Linked DNA regions of Anolis sagrei. The protein of the gene in region 1 interacts with the protein of each later gene in a pairwise test. Links are inferred from orthologs where the notes say so. Each region holds a gene or a part of one and is shown on either strand. Other genes may lie near its edges.

Evidence for each region.
Region 2: the proteins of ATXN2 (region 1) and SH3GL3 interact in binary tests that used the Homo sapiens proteins (3 or more experiments, as listed by UniProt). The link is inferred for Anolis sagrei from reciprocal best matches to the Homo sapiens genes ATXN2 and SH3GL3.
Region 3: the proteins of ATXN2 (region 1) and SH3GL2 interact in binary tests that used the Homo sapiens proteins (3 or more experiments, as listed by UniProt). The link is inferred for Anolis sagrei from reciprocal best matches to the Homo sapiens genes ATXN2 and SH3GL2.

The regions. Positions count from the first base shown.
Region 1 is NC_090034.1:30,793,043-30,801,257, forward strand, and holds the start of ATXN2 (ataxin-2), read left to right. Parts: upstream 1-5,072; 5' UTR 5,073-5,148; coding exon 5,149-5,387; intron 5,388-8,215. UniProt on the Homo sapiens protein: Involved in EGFR trafficking, acting as negative regulator of endocytic EGFR internalization at the plasma membrane.
Region 2 is NC_090029.1:32,892,411-32,899,896, forward strand, and holds the start of SH3GL3 (endophilin-A3), read left to right. Parts: upstream 1-4,099; 5' UTR 4,100-4,280; coding exon 4,281-4,325; intron 4,326-7,486. UniProt on the Homo sapiens protein: Implicated in endocytosis. May recruit other proteins to membranes with high curvature.
Region 3 is NC_090022.1:212,488,538-212,496,842, reverse strand, and holds the start of SH3GL2 (endophilin-A1), read left to right. Parts: upstream 1-4,918; 5' UTR 4,919-5,068; coding exon 5,069-5,113; intron 5,114-8,305. UniProt on the Homo sapiens protein: Implicated in synaptic vesicle endocytosis. May recruit other proteins to membranes with high curvature. Required for BDNF-dependent dendrite outgrowth.

The DNA.
Region 1 (8,215 bases):
CTTTGCTCCAGTCTGAGCAAAGGTTCTGGAAAACTCAAGGCTGCACTCACTCTGCTGCTGTCGCATTTTGCTAGAGAAAGGGCCTCATGGTGGATTTGGAACCAGAGTGACAAGAACGGAACTTGACATCAGTAGCTTTTTGAACTGTAATGCCCACAATCTACCAACCAGCCTGGCTGAATTGTCTGTCTGTAGGAGGACAGATATATTGGCTGACTCAGTGGTGTCCAAATTTTTTGCAAGAAGGGTCAGACTTGGCAAGATTAACATAGGAGCCGATCAATTCAGCCTGACATTCTTTGAACCATTAACATTAATGGCAAATGAACTATTTTATGAAATTTGCATTGAAAATCACATACTTCTCATTTCTTCACACAGAACACAAATCTAAACAAGTTTTTACAAAAATCACTCTACCTTTCATATTTGAAGACCACATAAAATGGAGAAAAAGTCTGTTTGGAAGATTAAACATCTCTAGGTTCATTTGAAACTACATATTATTCACTATTGAATGCTCCCCTTAACTGGGTTGTTGTAAGTTTTTTCGGGCTGTATGGCCATGGTCTAGAGCAGGCATGGGGAACCTTCGGCCCTCCAGGTGTGGTGGACTTCAACTCCCACAATTCCTTGAGGCCAAGGTAAGCCTTTGGGGCGAATGCCGAGCCTCAAGGAATTGTGGGAGTTGAAGTCCACCACACCTGGAGGGCCGAAGGTTCCTGACCCCTGGTCTAGAGGCATTAACTTCCCTTAACTTCTAAATTCAAAACATATAAACAGAAAAATAACACTAACAATTATCTTACAAAACAAAACATTGAGGGCATTTTAATTGTACAAAATGCATAAGGTTGTGGCTGAACTACAACTCACATCATGCCAGGTTAACCCTAAGAACCTCCATCAGTACTTCAAGTTGGTTTGGTTGTGTTGGGCAAATTTGCTCTGGATGCATCATCAGTAAGGTTCAGTGTGCTCTCTGGCTGCAGGGTAAACTACAGCTCCCACTATGTTGAGTCAGTCCCCTCAAACCTCTCCAGTAGGCCGAGTTAGTCAAGGGGTGTGTCAAGTTTGGTCCAGATCCATCATCGGTGAAGGTCAGAGTTTCTCTGGTTGTGGGTTAACTACAACTCCCAGAAGGGAAGGTCAGTTTCCTCCAAAACCTTGCAGTAATCAAATTTTGGTATATCAGATATGTGTGCCAAGTTTGGTCCAGATCCATCAGTTTTTGGGTTCACAGTGCTTTCTGGATGTAGGTGAATGACAACTCCCCCAAATCAAGGTGAATTTCCCCCACAGACCTCCAGTATCTGGTCATGGAGCCTCTGTGGAGTTTGGTCCAATTCTATATCCTTGATTGCAGGTGAACTATGAATTCCAGTACCTCCAACTCCAAAATGTCCAGGCCAATTCCCCTCACAACCCACCAGTATTCCAATTTGGGCATATTGGGTATGCATGCCAAGTTTGGTCTAGATCCATCATTGTTTGGGTTCATAGTGCTCTCTGGATGTAGGTGAACTACAACTCCTATAAATCCCTCCAAAGACCTCCAGTATGTTTTTGTGATCATGGGGGTTCTGTGTGCCAAGTTAGTTCCAGGTCCATCACTGGTGGAGTTCAGACTGCTCTTAGAGTGCAGGTGAACTATACATCCCAGGACCTACAATTCCTATGAATCATAGTGAGTTCTCCCCAAACCTCTCTAGTATGTTCAGTTGCTGATCAATTCCTCTGTTTGCTGTATGCCATAGAAAAGAATAGGAAAGGGTTAAGGAAGAGGCAGTGGGCGGGATCATGCAAATTCCACACCGATGGAGAGAGTCAGAAATCTGGGATGTCTGCGGTGGAGGAAACGCATGAAATCAAGGATTGAAAGCCTTCACTTGGGTGGTGGGCAGTATGGTGTTTGTGGAGGACATTAGCAGGGCTCTTGTGCATGTTCATGGCGCTCACTATAACCTGCAATGTCACTGGGGGGGGGGGGGGGGCTTTGGTATTTCCTGAGCAGTGGGAGCTATATAAGCCCTGAGTCCCTATGGGGAGATAGAGTGGAATATAAATAAAGTATAATCATTATTACTATTATTATTGTGGAAGCAGGAGCCTGTCTGTGTCAGTAGACACCCCAGCCACACACACATACATATTTTAACTTTTATTATGTGTATAGATAGATAGATAGATAGATAGATAGATAGATAGATAGATAGACAGACAGACAGACAGACAGACAGACAGATAGAAAGATAGAGAGATAAGAATATACAATACTAATCTACTAACAGATAGACTTAAGTTATAGCTTTCAAAGAACAGTTTGGAAACAAAACTAACAGAAACATCCAAGAAAAATCTTCAAGCAGAAAAGGAAAGGATAACTAACTGGAATCAAAGATCCAGCATAAAAAGACATGGTTATTAGGTTTCAAGGACAGTAAGAACTCTCTATTACAGTGTGTCTCAAACTTCCTAATGCCGCGACCCCCAAACATAAAATTATTTTTGTTGCTAATTCATAACTAATTTTGCTTCTGTAATGGATTGTAATGTAAATATCTGATATGCAGGATGTATTTTCATTAAATGGACCTAATATGGCACAAATGCCCAATATACCCAAATTTGAATACTGGTGGGGTCAGGAGGGGGGGGGGGTTGTCATTTGGGAGTTGTAGTTGCTGGGATTTATAGTTAACCTACCATCAAAGCATTCTGAACTCCACCAAAGATGGCATTGGACCAAACTTGGCACACAGAACTCCCATGACCAACAGAAAATACTGGAAGGGTTTGGTGGGTATTGACCTTGAGTTTGGAGTTGTAGTCGCCTACATCCAGAGAGCACTGTGGATTCAAACAATGATAGAGCTGGACTAAACTTGACACAAATACTCAGTATGTCCAAATGTGAACACTGGTCGAGTTTGTGGAAAACAAACTTTGAAATTTGGGAGTTGTAGTTGCTTGGATTTATAGGTCACCTAAAATCAAAGAGCACTGATAGAATTGGGCCAAACTTCCCCCACAGAACTCCCATGGCCAACAGAAAATACTGTGTTTTCTTAGAGTTTTTGGTGACCCCTCTAACATCCCCTTGTGACCCCCCCAGGATGAGAAACGCTGCTCTAGTATATGGAAGATACCAAGGCTGAATCAAATCCCACCTTGTCTGCTTTGAACTAGAATATATGGCAGTGTGAAGTCAGATAACCCAGTTCAAAGCAGATATTGTGGGATTTTCTGCCTTGATATTCTGTGTTATAGGGCTGTGGGCTCTTCCACACAGCCTATATCCCAGGATATCATGGCAGAAAATCGCACAATATCTGCTTTGAACTGGGTTTTCTGAGTCTACATTCAGATAATGTGGGATTTTCTGCCTTGGTGTTAGAGGGCTGTGTGGAAGAGCTTATAGACTTTCCAAACAGTTTAGTAGTTTAAACAATGAATGTTAGGGTAATAGAGATGAAAATCTGAATGTAATACCATACAATGTTTTAAAGGTTCCTTAACTGCTCTCACCACCACCACCACTTTTCTTGATTATTTATTAGACATTTGTTAAATCTATTAAACTTATAAAATTAATAACAATATGAATAAATCCTAAATGTGTATGTGTGGGGGAGAGTCTTGGTGGTGGGTCCGTAAGTAGATCTAGATTAAAGGTAAAGGTAGTCCCCTGACATTAAGTCCAGTCATGTCTGACTCTGGGGTGTGGTGCTCATCTCCATTTCTAAGCCGAAGAGCCAGCGTTGTCCGTAGACACTCCAAGGTCATGTGGCCAGCATGACTGCATGGAGCGCCGTTACCTTCCCGCCGGAGCGGTACCTATTGATCTACTCACATTTGCATGTTTTCGAACTGCTAGGTTGGCAGAAGCTAGGGCTGACAGCGGAAGCTCACGCCGCTCCCCGGAATTGAACCTACGACCTTTCGATCAACAAGCTCAGCAGCTCAGTGCTTTAACCCACTGAGCCACCGGGGGCTCAGTGGGTTAAATCTAGATTAGATATAGATATTCCGTATTTACCCAGATCGAATGCTAATCTTTTGGGGCTACATAAAGTGATCTATTCTACAGCATAGATGCCCCAAGGTTTTTTTTCCCATTGCTGGAAGCTTTGGTATTGTAACCCGTTTGTTTTGAAAGAAGCAGGCAGCAACTCAAATGGCAGCATGACAAAGAGGACACTTTTGGCCACTTTCTTTGTGCATGACATTGGGCAGCAGAGACTTTTTGGTGTCAGGAGGTGCAGTTAGGCCCCTTCCACAGCTTGACAAAATCCACCTTGAACTGGATGATATGGTAGTGTGGACTCAGGGCCCTTCCACACACTCATATAACCCAGAATATCAAGGCAGATAATCCACAATATCTGTTTTGGACTGGGTTATCTGAGTCCACACTGCCAGATCATCCAGTTCAAGGTACATTTTATCCAGCTATGGAAGGGGCCTGAGTTATTCGAGGCCCCTCCCACACAGCTGAATAAAATCGACATTGAACTGGATTATATGGCAGTGTGGATTCAAATAACCCAGTCCAAAACAGATATTGTGGATTATCTGACTTGATATTCTGGGTTATATGGCTGTGTGGAAGTGCTCTGGGTTATCTAAGGGCCCTTCCACACAGCCCTATATCCCAGAATATCAAGGCAGTAAATCCCACAATATCTGCTTTGAACTGGGTTATCTGAGTCCACACTCAGATAATGTGGGATTATCTGCCTTGATATTCTGTGATACAAGGCTGTGTGGAAGGGCCCTGTGTTATCTGAGTCCACACTGCCAAATAACCCAGTACAAAGCAGAGAATGGGGGAATTTTATCCAGCTATGTGGAAGACGCTTGTGTGCATGGGAGACCCCCCCAACCCGCAAAGCCAGTTGCAGGCTCCACGCATGCGCTGCCTTTCTCCTCGAGGGAGGGAGGGGAGTTCACGTGACCCGGAAGCGGGGCCCCTGCCCGGCTGAGGCGACGAAAGCGGCGGAGGAGGGAGGGGCCATGCTGGAGGGGGCGGAGCGTCTTTCTTCGCTTTCTTCTTCTTTCCCGCCCAAAAGCAGGCCAGAGGCTCCTCCCCCTCCTCTGAGGAGAAGAAGAAAGAGGAGGAGGCGGGCAGAGCAAGGGAGACCGGCCATGGCCCTCAAGCAGAGTATCACCACGCCAGCTTCGGCAACTGGAGCAGCGTCCCCCGCGCCTTCGCCGCCGCCTCCTCAGCAGCAGCAGCAACAACAGCAACAAGCGGCACCCAGCCCGCCTCCGCCTCCCCCCCCACCTCCTCCCCCGCCACAAGGCTCGGCGGGCGGCAGCGGGGGAAGGAAAGCCCCCGGCGGAGCAGGCCTCGGCGGAGGAGCAGGCCGCGCCGCCCTCGGCAGGTGAGGCCTTCCCCTCTTACCTCCCCTCCCCGCCCTCGCGTTGTCCCTCCCCCAGACTTTGGAGCCAAGCGGCCTGGGCCCCGAGCCGGGCCCTTCCTTGGGGTGGGGTCGCCTCAGCCCCTCCGCCCCTTTCCTGCGCCATGAGAGGAATCCGGAGGGGGAGGAGGAGGAGGAGAAGGCAACTCTTCGGTAGCCTGCGTTGAGTGTATTATTGAGGCGCCGCCGCCGCAGTCTTGTGACCGGCCGACCTCTCTCGCTCGCGCTCCTCTTTCCGCCACGGAGGCCCCTTCCCCACAGCTGAATCAAATCCCACCGTGTCTGCTTTGAACTGGAATATATGGCCGTGTGGACTTAGATAACCCAGTTCAAACAAGAAATTGTGGCATTCTCTGCCTTGATATTCTAGGTTGTAGGGCTGTGTAGAAGGGCCCTGAGCAAATGGGCGCCTGCTTCCTTCTCAGCAAAAGGGACCGACTCCCAAGAGGTCCCACGAGCACGGCTTGGGTTCTTTTTCGATCCCTCCACCGTTTTATTTTCGATCGTGTTATTTTAGTCTTGCTTTATATTCTCATTAATGTCTTTAATGTCTTATTGTCTCTTCTTTGTATTTTTATTTGATGTTATATGGTATTCTGTTCTGATTTAATATTTAATAATTTATTTATATTTTTATTTCATTTTGTGTTTTATTTTTTTTAATTTATATTATATTATCCATATTGCGTTATATATATATATATATATATCACTATTATCTATAATTATGATATATTTTCTTATATGATATTGTTATATTTTATATTTTATTCTTTTTAATATTTTTATGTTATATTACTATGTCATATTATTTTATATTATATGATATTGTTATTGTATTCTAGTTTGTATTTGTTTCTATTTTATGTCTGTATTATATTAATACCTTTTTATTTTGTATTTTTATTAAATTATTATCTTTTATATTCTTTTTGTTCTATTTTATATTTTTGTTTTGTTATATTATGTGATATTATTTTATTATATGATACTGTTATTATATTTTACATTTTTTTATTTTGTATTTCTATTATATAGTCTATTTTATATTCTTTTTATGATAAGATATGATAGTGTATTTTATGTTCTCTATTTTTTATTACTATGATGATGACATTGTTGTTATTGTTATTGTTAATATTTGAACTGCCCCCTCCACCTGTGTCTCTCTTTCTCCCTCGGCAGGAGAAGGGTCACTTGTGCTCTAGTGGCAGCTATAATAACAGCAATAATAATAATAATAGGAAACGTATTAACCAACTCTCATTGTGGCTGAAAATTCTGTTTGGCGAGAGGGGGGAGCAAAAAGGAGGGATCTGGGGATTGTATGAAAGGAGCCTTTTCTTGTAAGGGGCTTTCTGCCCAGGATCCCAAGGCAATCACAAAATCAGAAAAAAACAAGAGAGAATGCTGGGCAAAAGGAGGACCCAGAGGAAGTGCAGGATTAAAAATAAAGGTCTTTTCCTTTTATTGATGTCTGCCCCCCATCCCTCCACCACCCGAATCGGACCACTGTACAAAGAATGGGGAACGCCCGCCTCCTGGCTTCCCCCTTTCCTCCCTTCTCAACATTGCATCAGAAACCCCTCTGGTTTGACAAGGGAGGTAGGAAGTAGAGGTAGGGCTCAGGTGGGGAGGGGGGCTTTGGGGTTGCTGCCTGGGGAGTGGGGAAAAGGTGAGCTGAGGCGTCCCTTCCCAAAAGGAGGGAGAATATTTTGTTAGAGGAGGATGGGCTGTCATCCTCGAAAAATGTTTGACCAATCCAGCGTTAACCTTGACCTGGGATCTTTACGGTGTTGGGAGGAAAAGGATGGGGGTGACATACTTTGAGGGGGAGGCACATGGCTTCCTTAAGGCTTTGTGCATGCCTCAATAGAATACGGAGATTCCAGGATGCAGCAAGTGGTCTTCACCTGGAGGAGCAAAGCAGCCTCTTGGAGGGGGATGGAGGGAGTGGGCAGAGCATGGCACCCAGCAGAGGCAGGCAGGGAGACTTGTGGTGCCTTGGCAGAAGGGAGGAGGATCCCTCTCCTGCAAGAGGGCCTTAGGGAGGAGGGAGAAGCAAGGGGGGCAGAATCCACTTGGGGCTGCTTCATAGCAGGCATTTGGGATGGGGAAGCGGCATATTGTCATGGTGCTGGGGGGAAACAGACAAGGACTTTCTGTGCGGTATCTCTGCCTGTAAGAAGTTGTATGAATGGGGAAATAGGGCATGGGTAAGGGCACTCCTGTCCAAGGCCTGGGCTGCTGCAGAGGGATTCCAGGTCTGGGGTAAGCCAGAGAGGAGGGAAACTTTTGAGCTGGTTCTTTGCCTGGACGTCCTGTGGGTGACCATTGGGACAGAGCAGAATTGTATGACCCTCCCAATGCTGGGGTATTATAGGTCTCAGCAGCCCTGGTGAGTAATGCTGAGGCTTGCGGGTGAGGGCAATCTGCAGGATCAGTCTGGAGACTGAGGGGGATTTCCGACCTTCAGGGTTAGGTAAGGAGCAAATGGAGGCCATGCCGAAGGCACCTTGGCAAATGTGGTTGCACCAGTCCAAGCCTGTCTTTCCTTCCTGCAGTCTTGAATGCAGAATAGCATTCTCTGTCTCAGTCCCTTAACCAACCCCCTTTCCATGGCACTGGGCAGTGTACTCCTACTTGGTCTCCTTGTCTAAATCAAAGGCCCCCTCCAACAGTGCTCTCTTGGAGAAGAAGAGTGAAGGTTATCTCTTCTCTGGAAGATGCAGGGTTTGAATCTCCGCTGGTCAGACTGGGATATACATTCTGTACTATACATTCTGTACTGT
Region 2 (7,486 bases), on another chromosome or scaffold:
CAGATCCATCACTGTTTGAGTCCCCAGTGCTCTCCGGATGTAAGTGAACTATAACTCCAAAACTCAAGGTCTATGCCCACCAAAACCTTCCAGTGTTTTCTGTTGGTCATGGGAGTTCTGTGTGCCAAGTTTGGTTCAATTCCATCATTGGTAGAGTTCAGAATGCTCTTTGATTGTAGGTGAACTATAAATCCCAGCAACTACAACTCCCAAATGTAATGATCTATTTTCCCCAAACTCCACCAGTGTTCACATTTGGCATACTATTTGTGCCAAGTTTGGTCCAGATCCATCATTGTTTGAGTCCACAGTGCTCTCTGGATACAGGTGAACTACAACTCCAAAACTCAAGGTCAGCGCCCATCAAACCCTTCCAGTATTTTCTCTTGGTCATAGAAGATCTGTGTGCCAAGTTTGGTTCAATTCCATCGTTGGTAGAGTTCAGAATGCTCTGTGATTGTAGGTGAACTATAAATCCCAGCAACTACAACTTCCAAATGACAAAATCAATGGACTATAAGGCCTACCTGAAAGGGACCTGAGTCCACATTCAGATAATGTGGGATTTTCTGCCCTGATATTCTGGGATATAGGGCTGCGTGGAAGGGCCTGAAGAACTGTTCCTGTGTATAGGCATGGATGGCAATGCAGCAGCCAGTATCAAATCCGTAGCATTCACTGGAAGTGAGACATACCTCAATTGGCTTTGACCAGCTTATTTTTGGCAGCTTTCATAATGGACTGTTTGGAAGAATCTGAGACCCCTTCTACACTGCCATATAATCCAGGTTATCAAAGCAGAAAATCCACATTATTTGAACTGGATTATATGAGTCTACACTGCCATATAATCCGGTTCAATGCAGATAATCTGGATTTCATATGGCCAATATAACATGATATAGATCAGACATGAGCAAAATTTGGCCCTCCAGGTGTTTTGGACTTCAACTCCCACCACTCCTAACACCCTACTGGCTGTTAGGAATGGTAGGAGTTGAAGTCCAAAACACCCGGCAGGCCAAAGTTTGTCCATACTTGATATAGATCAATGTTTCAATCATGTCTGGTTGGCAGGGGTGTATATACTATATCAGTGGCTCCCAACCTTTGGTCTTCCACGTGTTTATATATTTCAGCTCCCATAATTACTTATAGCTGTCTGGGATTTCTGGGAATTGAAGTCCAAAACACCTGGAGGACCAATGGTTGGGAACCACTGCATTATACATAGGGGATTTGTAAGCATCTCCCTTCCAATAGACAGCATGTTAAAATGGGCCAAAGTAAAGGCTCTGGTATTGTTGAAGATTTTAATGGCCTGAATCACTGGGTTGCTAAATCCCAACAAAGGATTCTCCCAGGCAGGATGCAGCCAGGCTTTGAAGCTGCAAGGCCATTCAATACTAATCAAGGTGGCCAATTCCACAGATATATAAACCTCACTTGCCTAGTTTCCAACAGACCTCTAGAATCAAGAATCATAGAATCAGAGTTGGAAGAGACCTCATGGGCCATCCAGTCCAACCCCCTGCCAAGAAGCAGGAATATTGCATTCAAATCACCCTTGACAGATGGCCATCCAGCCTCTATTTAAAAGCTTCCAAAGAAGGAGCTTCCACCACACTCCGGGGCAGAGAGTTCCACTGCTGAACAGCTCTCACAGTGAGGCAGTTCTTCCTAATGTTCAGATGAGTTCTCCTTTCTTGTAGTTTGAAGCCATTGTTCTGCATCCTAGTCTCCAGGGCAGCAGAAAACAAGCTTGCTCCCTCCTCCCTATGACTTCCTCTCACATATTTATACATGGCTATCATATCTCCTCTCAGCCTTCTCTTCTTCAGGCTAAACATGCCCAGCTCTTTAAGCTGCTCCTCATAGGGCACGTTCTCCAGACCCTTGATCATTTTAGTCGCCCTCCTCTGGACACATTCCAGCTTGTCAATATCTCTCTTGAATTGTGGTGCCCAGAATTGGACACAATATTCCAGGTGTGGTCTAACCAAGGCGGAAGAGAGCATGGGGAGCATGACTTCCCTAGATCTAGACACTATGCTCCTATTGATGCAGGCCAAAATCCCATTGGCTTTTTTGCTGCCGTATCACATTCCTGGCTCATGTTTAACTTGTTGTCCACGAGGACTCCAAGATCTTTTTCACATGTACTGCTCTCAAGCCAGGCATCATTGTCCCCCATTCGGTCTCTTTGCATTTCATTTTTTCTGCCAAAGTGGAGTATCTTGCATTTGTCCCCGTTGAACTTCATTTTGTTAGTTTTGGCCCATCTCACAGCCTCTGAGGATGCCTGCCAAATATGTGGGCGAAACGTCAGGAGAGAATGCTTCAGGAACATGGCCATACAGCCCGGAAAACTCACAACAACCCACTGTCATGTGCATAATTTTAGATTTTGGCATATTTCAGAATTCCCAATAAGGAATAACCAACTTGTAGTGGCATCTCATTTTCTTCTAATTCTTTCTAAATATTTTTTTCCAAATGTGTCTTAGGATGTTTTACGGTTTAATTCAGGAACAATACAGCTTAAAACCTTCAAAAGGTGGACATTAAAATGATATCATTCACATTATTAAAGTTAGACAACATGTTAAAATGGGCCAAAGTAAAGGCTCTGATATTGTCAAAGGATTTCATGGCCTGAATTCTGTATTGATGAATCCCAACAAAGGATTCCCACAGGCAGGAAGCAGCCAGGCTTTGAAGTTGCAAAGCCATTCAATGATAATCAAGGTGGCCAATTGCAACATCCACACTTGCTTCCAACAAACAAAGAGTTCTTTCTCCCACCCTTGACATTCCACAGATATATAAACCTCACTTGCCTAGTTTCCAACAGACTGCACAACCTCTGAGGATGCCCTGCCATAGATGTGGGCGAAACGTCAGGAGAGAATGCTTCTGGAACATAACCATAAAGACCGGAAAACTCACAGCAACCCGGCTGTATGATATTTCGGAATATTAAGAACTAGCTGACCCTGCCACACGTTGCTGTGGCCCAGTCTTGCGATCTGGAAAATAAAGTAATGATAAAGTGTTGGTTTCTAATAGATGTAATTTCTTTACGCTTGTGGGTAAACAGAATTTCTCATTGATTTTTGGCAGTGTTGATGTAAAGATTGTCTGGTTTTCCTACTCTGGAATATGCATCATATAATTGTCCTTCTTTAGGGGTCCCTTTCAGATCTATGATACTATATCTCTCTGTGTGTGAATCATATCAAAGAGCTGGATGGCTCTTTATCAGGAGGGCTTTGATTACATTTTCTTGTCCTGGTGAAGGGAGTTGGACTGGATGACCTTAAGTATTTTCTGTTGGTCATGGGGGTTCCGTGCGGGAAGTTTACCCCAATTCTGTTGTTGGTTGGGTTCAGAACGCTCTTTGATTGTAGGTGAATTGTAAATCCCAGTAACTACAACTCCCAGATGTCAAGGTCTATTTCCCCCAAAATCTATCTGTGTTCATATATGGGCAAATGGAATATTTGTGCAAAGTTTGGTCCAGATCCATCATTGTTTGAGTTCACAGTGCTCTCTGGATGTAGGTGAACTACAATTCCCAAACACAAGGTCAATGCCCACCAAACCCTTTTAGTATTTTCTGTTGGTCATGGGAGTTCTGTGTCCCAAGATTGATTCAATTGCATCATTGTTGGAGTTCAGAATGCTCTTTGACTGTAGGTGAACTATAAGTCCCAGCAACTACAACTCCCAAATGACAAAATCAATTTTTTGAGTGAAGGACATACATTGGGTTGTTAGGTGTCTTGTGTCCAAATTTGGTGCCAATTCGTCCAGTAGTTTTTGAGTTCTGTTAATCCCACAAACGAATATTACATTTTTATTTATATAGAAGATTGGCATTGCCTTAGCATTTGCGGGTAAAAACAAACAACCCCTCGTCTTTGTTGTGCCCGCATCTCCTTTGCTTTCCGACGTGCTCCTTCCTCCTCCTCTCTCTGGCTTTGTCTGCAAACCAAAACAGAACGTTGGCGTCTTGAGGGTTCTGATTTTTGCATAACTCCCTCCAAGGGACCAATCGCTGGGCGAGCTGATCTGAATCGAACGCGCCGTAGCCAATGGGAGGGCAGGCGTGGAGCGTGTTCGGAAGGCAGTGGTCCTTCCAGCTGAGCTGCCTTCTCTCTCTTGGAGCCTGGCCTTGGCACAGCATCCAATCCTCCTCTGGACCTGGGCATTGGCCATTTAACCCTTTGTTTCTGTTGGCTGGAAAACTCAGATTGCGCCCTGGGGGCAAAGCTGGCATGTCGGTGGCAGGGCTCAAGAAGCAGTTCCATAAGGCCAGCCAGGTAAGAGGAACATAATATGGTTTGGGACTTTGGGTAGGAGGACACCTGCAGCCTTTCCAGGGTTTGCAAATCAGGAGGGTGAATTGAGGCAAGAGGGTCATTGCTGGCTACTGGCTGGGGAAGAGTTGCCCAACTCAACAGATATTTCTCAAGCCCAGTGTTTCTCAACCTGGGGGTCGGGACACCTGTGGGGGTCGCGAGGGGGTGTCAGAGGGGTCGCCAAAGACCATCAGAAAACATAGGATTCTCATAGAATCATAGAATCAAAGAGTTGGAAGAGACCTCATGGGCCATCCAGTCCAACCCCATTCTGCCAAGAAGCAGGAATATTGCATTCAAATCACCCCAATCATTCTATCGTTGTTGGGGTTCAGAATGTTATTTCATTGTAGGTGAACTATAAATCCCAGTAACTACAATTCCCAAATGTCAAGGTCTGTTTTTCTCAAACTCCTCCAGTGTTCACATTTCAGCATATTGAATATTCGTGCCCTGTTTGGTCCAGATCCATCACTGTTTGAGTCCACAGTGCTCTCTGGATGTAGGTGAACTACAACTCCAAAAATTCAAAGTCAATGTCCACCAGATCCTCCCAGTGTTTTCTCTTGGTCATGGGAGTTCTGTGTACCAAATTGGGTTCAATTTCATCATTAGTGGTGTTCAGAATGCTCTTTGATTGTAGGTGAACTATAAACCCCAGCCACTACAGCTCCCAAATGACAAAATCAATCTCCCCCCCCCCCCACAACCCCACCAGTATTCAAATTTGGGCATATTGGGTATTTGGGATTTGAAAATACATCCTGCATATCAGATATTTACATTACGGTTCATAACGGTAGCAAAATTATAGTTATGAAGTAGCAATGAAAATGTTATGGTTGGGAGTCACCACAACGTGAGGAACTGTACTAAGGGGTCGCGGCATTAGGAAGGTTGAGAACCACTGGAGTCTAGCCCATTGATTCCCAAATCCTTGCCCTCCCAGAATCTCTGACCCTTGGCCAAGGTGGCTTCTGGAAGTTGAGGTTTAATACACGCAGGAGTTTGAGAATCACTATGTTGCCAATCGTGGAGGGTTGCAAATAGTTGTGTGTTTAATACACTACCTCAAAATAAGCCTAAAAGCTGTGATTGCAGAATTCTCTGGAATTTTCCTGTGTGATATCCAGCAAAGGTACCACTTCCTCAGCCCTGTCCATCTTACTTCTGTTGCAACATCTCTGCCCATAGTGGTTGATTTGTGATTTTGTATTGTTGATGTGTTATTTATAATGGGTTTTTTTGTGTTGTATTTTTATTTACTTACATTTTATTTATTGCTATATTCTGTTTATACTGATGTATTGTTTTGCTGGGCTTGGGCTCATGTAAGCCGCCCCGAGTCTCCTTGGCGAGATGGGGGTAGGGTATGAACAGAGGCGGCCCTAGGTAATTTTCAACGGTAAGCAAACAGTATTTTGGCACCCCCCCCCCAACCAATCATTGATATATATTTTCTGTTTGTCGTGGGAGTTCTGTGTGCCATATTTGGTTCAGTTCCATCATTGGTGGAGTTCAGAATGCTCTTTGATTGTAGGTGAACTATACATCCCAGGAACTACACTTGCCGCACTTGCTCCCTTGCCTGGCCCACTTTGGGTCCGGAGGCGTGCCTGAAGACCCCGGCGTGTGCACCAAAAGTCACCTCTTCTCCTGACTTTCTCCTCAGCCATTGGGACCGAGAGAGAGAGAGAGAGAGAAAGAGAGAGGTGGAGATGCCCGCCTTTCCTGAAGGTAGGTGCAAAAACAAAGGAGGGAGCGGATGTGGGAGATACCTCCAGCCGGAGGGTCTCTCTCTCTCTCTCTCTTGGTCCCAATGGCTGAAGAGAAAGTCAGGAGAAGAGGCTACTTTTGGTGCGCACGCTGGGGTCTTCAGACACGCCTCCGGACCTGAAGTGGGCCAGGCGCGGCGGCTCGTCCCCTTGGCCCACCCGTGGATTGGGGAGGGGAGAGGAGGCAGGTGGAGCGCTGGGGGATCGGGAAAGGGAGCCGGTCATGGGGAAGGGATCGAACGTGGAGAACAATTGAGCGCTGGCTCTGCTTGCGCACCCGGTGGCCGGGTGGAGCAGGAACGAGAGGGGCTTGGCGAGGCTCAAGGGTCCAGCCCCTTAGGGAAGAGGATCGCCCAGCAGCGAGGCAAGAAAGCCGAGGCTCCCCCCGGACTGCTAGGGCTGTTGTGAGCTGAGGGGTGCTCGAGGGGCATTGTGAGCTGAGTGGGCTGTTGTGAGCTGAGTGGTGGTCGAGGGGCATTTACAGAGGCGGCTCTGCGCCCCTGGCAAAAAAAGTGTTCTGCAACCACTTACTTCGTGTAATGGACGAGCCGCCCCTGGGTATGAATAAAGTTTATTATTATTATTATTATTATTATTATTATTATTATCTCTCAGGCTGTTCAGGTCCCATTTGCCCCATCTACACTGAAACTGCATTATGTGGTCAGTGTAGGCCAGGCATGGACAAACTTGGGCCCTCCACGTGTTTTGGACTTCAACATCCTGGTTGGATTACTGCAACGCACTCTACGTGGGGTTGCCTTTGAAGACTGCTTGGAAACTACAACTAGTCCAGCGAGAAGCAGCCAGATTGCTCACCGGAGCGACGTACAGGGAGCATACCACCCCCCTGTTGCGCCAGCTCCACTGGCTGCCGATCCAATTCCGAGCGCAATTCAAAGTGCTGGTTTTGACCTACAAAACCCTATACGGTTCCGGCCCAGTGTATCTGTCCGAACGGATCTCCCTCTACGTCCCATCTCGAAGCTTAAGATCTTCTGGGGAGGCCCTGCTCTCGACTCCGCCACTGTCACAAGTGAGGCTGGCGGGGACGAGGATCAGGGCCTTCTCAGTGGTGGCCCCCACCTGTGGAACTCACTCCCCGGGGAGATTAGATCGTCATCTTCCCTCTTGGCATTTAGGAAAAAACTGAAGACCTGGGTCTGGGATCAAGCCTTTGGTCATTCTGACAGCTAACTGAAGGATCTGATGATAGACAAGGACAAATGGAATGGAATGGATATATGGACTCTGAACCCTGAGCATGAGACTTTTATGATTTTATTATGTATTGATGTTTTTAATTAATTGTTGAATTGTTTGTATTTGTATTGCTTGTGAATTGCC
Region 3 (8,305 bases), on another chromosome or scaffold:
TAAATCAGATGAAAGGTGCATATGCATTGTAGAATTAATGCAGTTTGATAGCACTTTAACTGCCACAGCTCAATAAGTTGGAATCCTTGGATTTGAAGTCTGGCATAGTACCAGCACTATTTGGTAGAGAAGCCAAAGATTGTGTAAAAATAAACTCCTGTAGTCCAATAGCATTGGGTCGTGGCTATTAAAGAGCTGTCAAACTGCATTAATTCTACAGTATAGGTACACCCTAATACTCCCAGATGAGTTTGCTCATCTGAGAGCAAACTCCACCATAGTCCGTAAGGCCTACTTCAGAATAGGCATGTCCAGGGCTGCATTTTTATTTTTCAGGTTTGAATAAGTGTTACACGAAGATTGCTTTAGGAGAAAGTATAGGTGAATTCTCTTTACTCTTAAAACAAGAGAAAGTGGTTCAATTTGGAACTCTCTGCCCTGGAGTGTGGTGGAGGCTCCTTCTTTGGAGGCTATTAAACAGAGGCTGGATGGCCGTCTGTCGGGAGTGCTTTGAATGCAATTTTCCTGCTTCTTGGCAGGGAGTTGGACTGAATGGCCCACAAGGTCTCTTCCAACTCAATGATTCTTTGATTCTATATTGCCTGTAACAAGAGCATATCTACATTTCCAATTATATTTTGTGATGCCTTCTTGGAAAGTCTATTTGTCAAGGGCTGCTGCACCTGAAAATTATACACGTAATTGTAAACTGCTTTTTCTAAGGTTAACCTTTAGAGGCTTCACTGAAACAAGATATAAATGGATTTTCCCTCCAGAATTCTGTGTTTTCGCTCTCGACAACATTATTTGCAGTGTGCATGTACAGTACATGCGTATGTGAAATGTCATCCTTAAAGTTTGCTTCTCTTTATTGCATTCAATGAAGTAACTCCAAAGACCCTCACAAAAGCAAACTACTTTTTGAAATGAAGCTACCCTGAAATGAAATCGTCCTGGATAGCAATATTTGGGGGGAGGTGGACAGAATATTAACAAAAATAACAAGAAGCAATGATTTATTGCATTTCAGCTGGATAAAACACTTTGTGTTTGATCAAAAATAATAAATGGTATCTTTATTGACACAACCCTAGTCCTCTTGATGGCTGCCTCTCAATTCTGGGACTCCCCATTGCCATGTAGTTGAAAGGCTAAACTGTCTTTATTCCCACAGGCTATTAAAACAGCAGGCTTTTAAAGACTGGACCAAGTGGTGTGGTGTCATTTTAAATGTACTATTTTAATAGCTTTTTAATATTTTCAATTGCCTTTTATTCGTTTATCTAGAAATTTGAAAAATTTTAATATTATGACTACTTTAATTCTGTTTTCATGGTTACTTTTGGTATGTTTTCAACTACAATGCTCTTTTAAACTATAAGCCACCTTGAGTCCTAGTTCTGGGAAGAAGACAGGATAAAAACAAATAAGTAGTCTCTGAGGGACCTTCCACACAGTCCTCTATCCCAGAATATCAAGGCAGAAAATCCCACATTATCTAAGTGTGGAGTCAGATAACAGTTCAAAGCAGATAATGTGGGATTTTATACCTTGATATTCTGGAATAGAGGACTGTGTGGAAGGGCCCTCAGTTGCTTAAACCCATGGGGATTGTTAGATACCAGAATAACGCAGTTTCTGGTTGCTTGAGGGTTTAATGAAAAATCGGCCTCTTACTATACCCCATACTATACCATTGCATAAATTCTGTATTGTCTATTATTATTATTGAAAAGCAGTAATTAAACCTCAATTAAGGGCCCTTCCACACACCCTAGATCCCAGAATATCAAGGCAGAAAATCCTACAATATCTGAGTATGGACTCAGATAACCCAGTTCAAAGCAGATATTGTGGGATTTTCTGTCTTGATATTCTGGGGGGCCTTCCATACAGCACCTTTATTGCGGTATCTACTGGAATAAAGGAGGGGCTGTCCAGACAATGTCTGGACAGTCCCAAATTAATTCCCTACAAACCAGGAAAACCTTGTTTTGTAACAAATTAATTTAGTAGTGGATTTATTCCACGCTTTCTTGGAAGGCGTGGGATAAATCCATTATTTCCAGGTCTGGACTGCAAAATACTGCAGTCCAGACAGTATTCCCACAGTTTACTGGGCTATATAAGCCCAGTAAACTGTGGGAATACCCCCCCCCCCATGCGCTTTCTGGTGTGGTTGTCCAGATGTTCCCTTGGGCGCCCTCCTCTCCTCCCCCCAAATCCCCAGACCCCTTAGAAAAGAAATAAAAACTTTTGTGCCCTCCATTACAAGAGTCAGCCAGCTCTCCCGGTGCATACAATGACATGCCAGGAGAGTGTGTGTGTTTGTGTGTGGGAGAGCTATCCCCCCCCCCCCCCCCGGTGCATTATTTCTCCTGGCATGGCGAGGCTTGTAATGGCTTTCTGGGGTGGGTGTGGACAGGCCCCCAGAAACATCCATGTTTGGGATAAAGGCCTGACTGGATCCGGCCTGGGATATAGGGCTGTGTAAAAGGGCCCTTAGACAAATAAAAACAAAACTAATGTAATATTTCCACCAAAAGCAGCCAAGCGCCTCTCCTCTAGAGTAAGAAACAGAGAACTTGCCTCCTTGCTTTGGAAAGAGTGCTGTCTTCTCTTCTCCAAGCGAAATATACTCTGCTCCCCAAGTCATTTCTCATAAGGCTTTTTTTCCTGACTTTTAATCGTCTTGGTCATTTTTATTTGGGCATCTTCCAACTTGTCAATATCCTTTTCGAATTGCGGTGCCCAGAACTGAACACAGGTGAATTTGGACCAAAGCAGAACAGAATGGTACTACAACTTCCCTTGATCTGAATGCTATGCTGTTGTTTGAGATAGCATTGCCCGTTTTTGGCTGCCACATCATACAGTTGACTCATGTTTAGACCCTTAGATCCTTTTTGCTTGTACTGTTATCAAGCCAGGTATCACCCATACAATATATGGGCACTTCATTTTTCCTGCCTACATGTAATCCCTTAAATTACTCCATGTTGAAATTCATTTTGTTAGTTTTGACTCAGCTTTCTAATCAGCCAATGACATTTTGTTGAATATGTTATTATTATTATTATTATTATTATTATTATTATTATTATTATTATTTCTTCATGCAAGGAAACATCCTGCAAGGAAAAAAACATGGAAGAGCTACACTTAAGAAATGACAAAGACAGAAAAAGATAACATATAAAGAACTTTATTTTGAGAGGCCATACATATATATAACCCTTCCCTCCTCTCTTCTAATGACATTGTACACTTCTGATAACCAAATAATATCAATTTTCAAAATAGTTATCAAATCATTTTTGTCTTTCCACAAAAAGTGTGTCAAGGGCTTCCAATCATTTGCAAATCACCCTAATGATTTTCCCTAATCAAGCCACATAATTCATCTCTAGCAGGTCATTCAGTGTAAAGGACATTTTGGATTCTTGTCCTCTGGGGTATTAGCCACCCCTTCCTAATTTGGCATTATCTGCAAATTTGCTAAGGATGACTTCTACTCCATCATCCAAGTCATTGATAAAGATGTTGAATATGAAATAGTGCTCTATTTCATATTGCTCTCCATCCCTAACTTTGTCATATGGCTTTGTACTTTATCCATCAACTCTGTCCTCACAACTTATTTGCACCTGTCTGCCCACCCGAGAACAGAAGTGTTTATTACTCAAACCACTGGTTTTTTTTTGCTTGATGGTTGTTTTATATTGTGTTGAGTTGTTGTTTGTTTTATATTGCTTTATGACTTTGTTTTATGCATTTTATTGTGCTATATTTTAACTATGTTGATCGGGTTTGTCCCCATGTAAGCCGCCCTGAGTCCCTTCGGAGAGATGGAGGCGGGATACAAAAATAAAGTTATTATTATACTGACACAAAAACACAGTATGTCACAGCAAATGAGATCTCTGTGCTGGATTTCGTATCACAAAATCACAAGTTGAACACTTCCCAAGCGTCTAGGACTGTGTGATGTATTTTTGAATGATGCGTGCAGATCCAAGTAAGGTGGCCTTTTGCAGTTGACAGATTGTGATTTTGTCAATGTTTATTGTTTCCAAATGCTGGCCGAGATCTTTTGGCACGGCACCCAGTGTGCCGATGACCACTGGGACCACCTGTACTGGTCTATGCCAGAGCCATTTCAGTTTGATTTTGAGGTCCTGTTGTTTTTCCTCCATGCAACTGTCACCTGGTATAGCAACATTGAAAATCCAAACATTTTTCCTTTCCATAATCGTGATGTCTGGTGTATTGTGTTCCAAAACTTTGTCAGTCTGGATTATTATTATTATTATTATGACCCCCAGTGATGCAGTGGATTAAAGTGCTGAGCTGCTGAACTTGCTGACGGAAAGGTCACAGGTTCAGATTTGGGGAGCAGCGTGAGCTCCCATTGTTAGCCCCAGCTTCTGCCAACTTAGCAGTTCAAAACATGTAAATTTGAGTAGATCAATAGGTACTGCTCTGGCGGGAAGATAACAGCACTCCATGCAGTCATGCTGGCCACATGACCTTGGAGGTGTCTACGGACAACACCGGCTCTTGGGCTTAATGGAGATGAGCACCAACCCCCAGAGTCGGATGTGACTGGATTTAATGTCAGGAGAAAACCTTTCTCTTTAGCTTTACCTTACATCAGGTATATCTGGACAATATGGATTTATTTCCAAACATTCCTACCAAGTTTTAGGACCAGAGCAGTCCTGGTCACTCCGGTGGAAGATACTGGGAAAAGGAACAGGAGGGAGTATAACTCTTTCCATTCTTCCACAGTCAATAAAGCTGCTTACCATGTCCTCTCATTGCCAGAGAGGCTGCTTTGAAGCTCTTTGCTTGACCCAAAAGAGAGAGGGGGGTGGCTGTCCCTTTAAGAGGCAGGGCTGCCTGTCTCTGACGTCAGGCGCGCGCTCTCTCTCTGCATCAGAGCATCCCCGCTCAAGCAGGAGGAGGGCAAGAGGGAGGCTGGCACCAGAAGGGACCTTTCCCGCTCCTCCGGCATCCCTCCATCTCTCTCTCTCTCTCTCTCGCTCTCCTTCCACCTACAGCAGAGATGTCTGTGGCGGGGCTCAAGAAGCAGTTCCACAAAGCCACTCAGGTAAGGAAGCCAAGGAGGAAGGGAAGCGGGAGGGAGAGCGGGAGGGAGGGAGGAGAAGCAGCCTTGGGGGCATCCTCCTCGGGTCAAAGGAGGGCGAAGCGCCTTCCTCCCTCTGGTCTGGACAATCTCCTCCTCCTCCTCCTCCTCCTCTCAACACACGCACTCTAGGCTCCGAGGGGCCAGGAGGGGGCGCTCTCCTTCGTAGCCGGGGAAGAGAGCCCGAGCTGGTGTGCGCGTGTGTGTTGCTAGGTTGGGAGTGCGTGCCTTGGCATTAGCCATAGATTCATGGATTGCATGGCGTTTCAAGGCGTCTTCGGAGGTGGTTTGGGCATCTCCTTCTTCTGGGCTCCCATTGGCAGCGCTTCTGGGCTTGGGGAAGGGCCTGGATGGGGGATTCTGGGAGTGACAGTCCCCCCAGAAGGCACCTTTGCTCAGCAGAGCCGGCTTGGGGGGTGGGGGTGGGGATTCTGTGATTGACAGGCGTTCAAGACAGCTTTCTTTAGCATAGCTGGAGGGACGATTCGAGGTGGTTTTGGCATCTCCTTCTTCTGGGCTCCAATTCACAGCGCTTCTGGGCTTGGGGAAGGATCTTTTGGAAGTACTGGATGGGGCATTCTGGGAGCGACAGTCCCCCAAAAGGCACCTTTGCTTAGCAAAGCTGGCTAGGGGAGAATTGTGTGATTGACAGTCCCTAAAGACAGCTTTCCTTCACATAGCGGGATGGACGATTCAGGGATTGGGTTGCTGTGAGTTTTCCAAGCTGCATGGCTATGTCCCAGAAGCATTCTTTCCTGATGTTTCGCCCACATCTATGGCAGGCATCCTCTGAGGTTGTGAGGTCTGTTGGAAACAAGGCAAGGGAGGTTGACATATCTGTGGAATAATGTCCCAGGTGAGAGAAAGGACTCTTGTCTGTTGGAGGCCAAGGTGAATTTTGCAATTGGACACCTTAGATTAGCATTGAATAGCCTTGCAGCTTCAAAGCTTGGGAGGTTGATATATATGTGGAAATTCCAGGGTGGGAGAAAGAACTGTTGCCTGTTACAATTGAGCATCTGGATTAGCATTGAATAGCCTTGCAGCTTCAAAGCTTGGGAGGTTGATTCATCTGTGGAATAATGTCCAAGGTGGGAAAAAGAACTCTTACCTGCTGGAGGCAAGTGTGAATGTTGCAGTTGATCACCCTAATTAGCATTGAATAGCCTTGCAGCTTCAAAGCCTGACTGCTTCCTGCCTGGGGGAACCCTTTGTTCGGAGGTGTTAGCTGTCTTCAGAGTGTTCTTTATTTACTGTCATGATTTTAAGAGATTGAGGGATTGACAATCCCTTTCCCCCCATTTGAACTTGATAGTAGATTGACAGTCCCAAAAAGCATTTTGGAGGGATCTGCAGATTGCAGCGTCTGGAGCAAAGAGATCAAGGGTGCATCTAATTAGGCAAGGTGTCTTGGGAGGTTGTTTTGGCATCTCCTTCTGGTCTCCAGTTGACAGCACTTCTGGGCTTGGGGAAGGGTCTTTTGGAAATGCTGGATGGGGGATTTTGGGAGTGACAGTCCCCAGAAAGGCACCTTTGCTTAGCAGAGCCGGCTTTGGGGGGGGGGGGATTCTGTGATTGACAGTCCCTAAAGACAGCTTTCCTTAGCATATCTGGAGGGGCGATACAGAGATTTACACTCAGTCCCTTTTCTCTATTATAGCTGGATAGATTGACAGTCCCAAAAGCAGTATTGGGAAGCTCCAGATTGCAACATCTGGGGCAAAGAGACCAAGAGTGGGTTGCTGTAAGTTTTTCGAGCTGTATGGCCATGTTCCAGAAGCATTCTCTCCTGACATTTCACCTGCATCTATGGCAGGCAGCCTCAGAGGGGACCTCACAACCTCTGAGGATGCCTGCCATAGATGCAGGCGAAACGTCAGGAGAGAATGCTTCTAGAACATAGCCATAGAGCCCGAAAAGCTTACAGCAACCCAGTGATTCCGGCCATGCAAGCCCTTGACAACACATTGAAGAAGGGTGCATCTTGCCTGGTAGAATGAATGCAGTGTGATCCCAATGGCTCAATGCTATAGAAGCCTGGGAGTTGTACAGGCTCTTTATTTTAGCCTCCTTTACCAAAGAAGGGCTTCTGCCTCCTCAAATCGCCATAATTGTAGTTTGGTGCCCGACTGCATGGGTTCTAGAGCATAAGGGGTTTCTTGGAGGGGTTGTCTTCGGCCAGGGAGACTCGAGAGGTGCCTCTTGCCCTTGCCTTGCTCTGGAGTCGGTCTCAGATCCGAGCAGGCAGAGCTGAAGCAGGGAAGGCACTGTGTCAGGGCAAGGCTGGCATCCCTTTGGCAGGGAGGGAGGCCTCTCCTTTCCTGCGCCAGGCTGCCTTCCGCAGGATCTGGACCGCGTCCCGGGTCGGAGACTTTTGCCGCAGAAACCCAGGGAGGGGGCACCGCATTGCCACCCCTTCCACACACAGCAAGGAGCCCGACCTGGTTACTCCCCTTTTCAGCATGTCTCTACCCTTCCTTGTGGCTTGGTTCAGCCTGGGACTCCCTTTCTCCCTCTCTCCTGCTGATCTTTCCTTGCATTGGAGCTCCCTCGCCATTGCGGCTCTTTACGGGGAGATTGGGGGGAGGGCTTCCTCCTCTCCCAAATCAGATGGAAATATTTCCAGACCTCCGCCAACTCTCTCCCTCCCCCCTTCCCAATTGTCCTGGATGATTATGTAAAAGTCCTCCTCCAATGACCTTCCTTCTAGTGATACCTACATAGATATAGATAGAGATACTCGGGAGCTGGGCTTTCCTCTCCTAAATAGTCCATTCCTTCTGGCTCTTGAGTCCAAATAGCCCAGGCATGGGCAAACTTGGGCCTTCCTCCTGGTGTTTTGGACTCCAGCTCCCACAATTCCTAACAACCTCAGGCCCTTTCCTCTCCCCTTCTCCCCGCCAGCCGCTTAATCAGGCTTGAGGCTGTTAGGAATGGTGGGAGTTGGAGTCCAAAACACCTGGAGGAAGGCCCAAGTTTGCCCACGCCTTTCCCCCCTCAGCTTAAGCAGCTGAGGGGGAAAAGGAAGGTGCCTGAGGCTGTTAGGAATGGTGGGAGTTGTAGTTCAAAATACCTAGAGGAAGGCCCAAGGTTGCCCGTGGAGGCATGGGTAAACTTGGGCCTTCCTCCAGATATTTTGAACTACAACTCCCACCA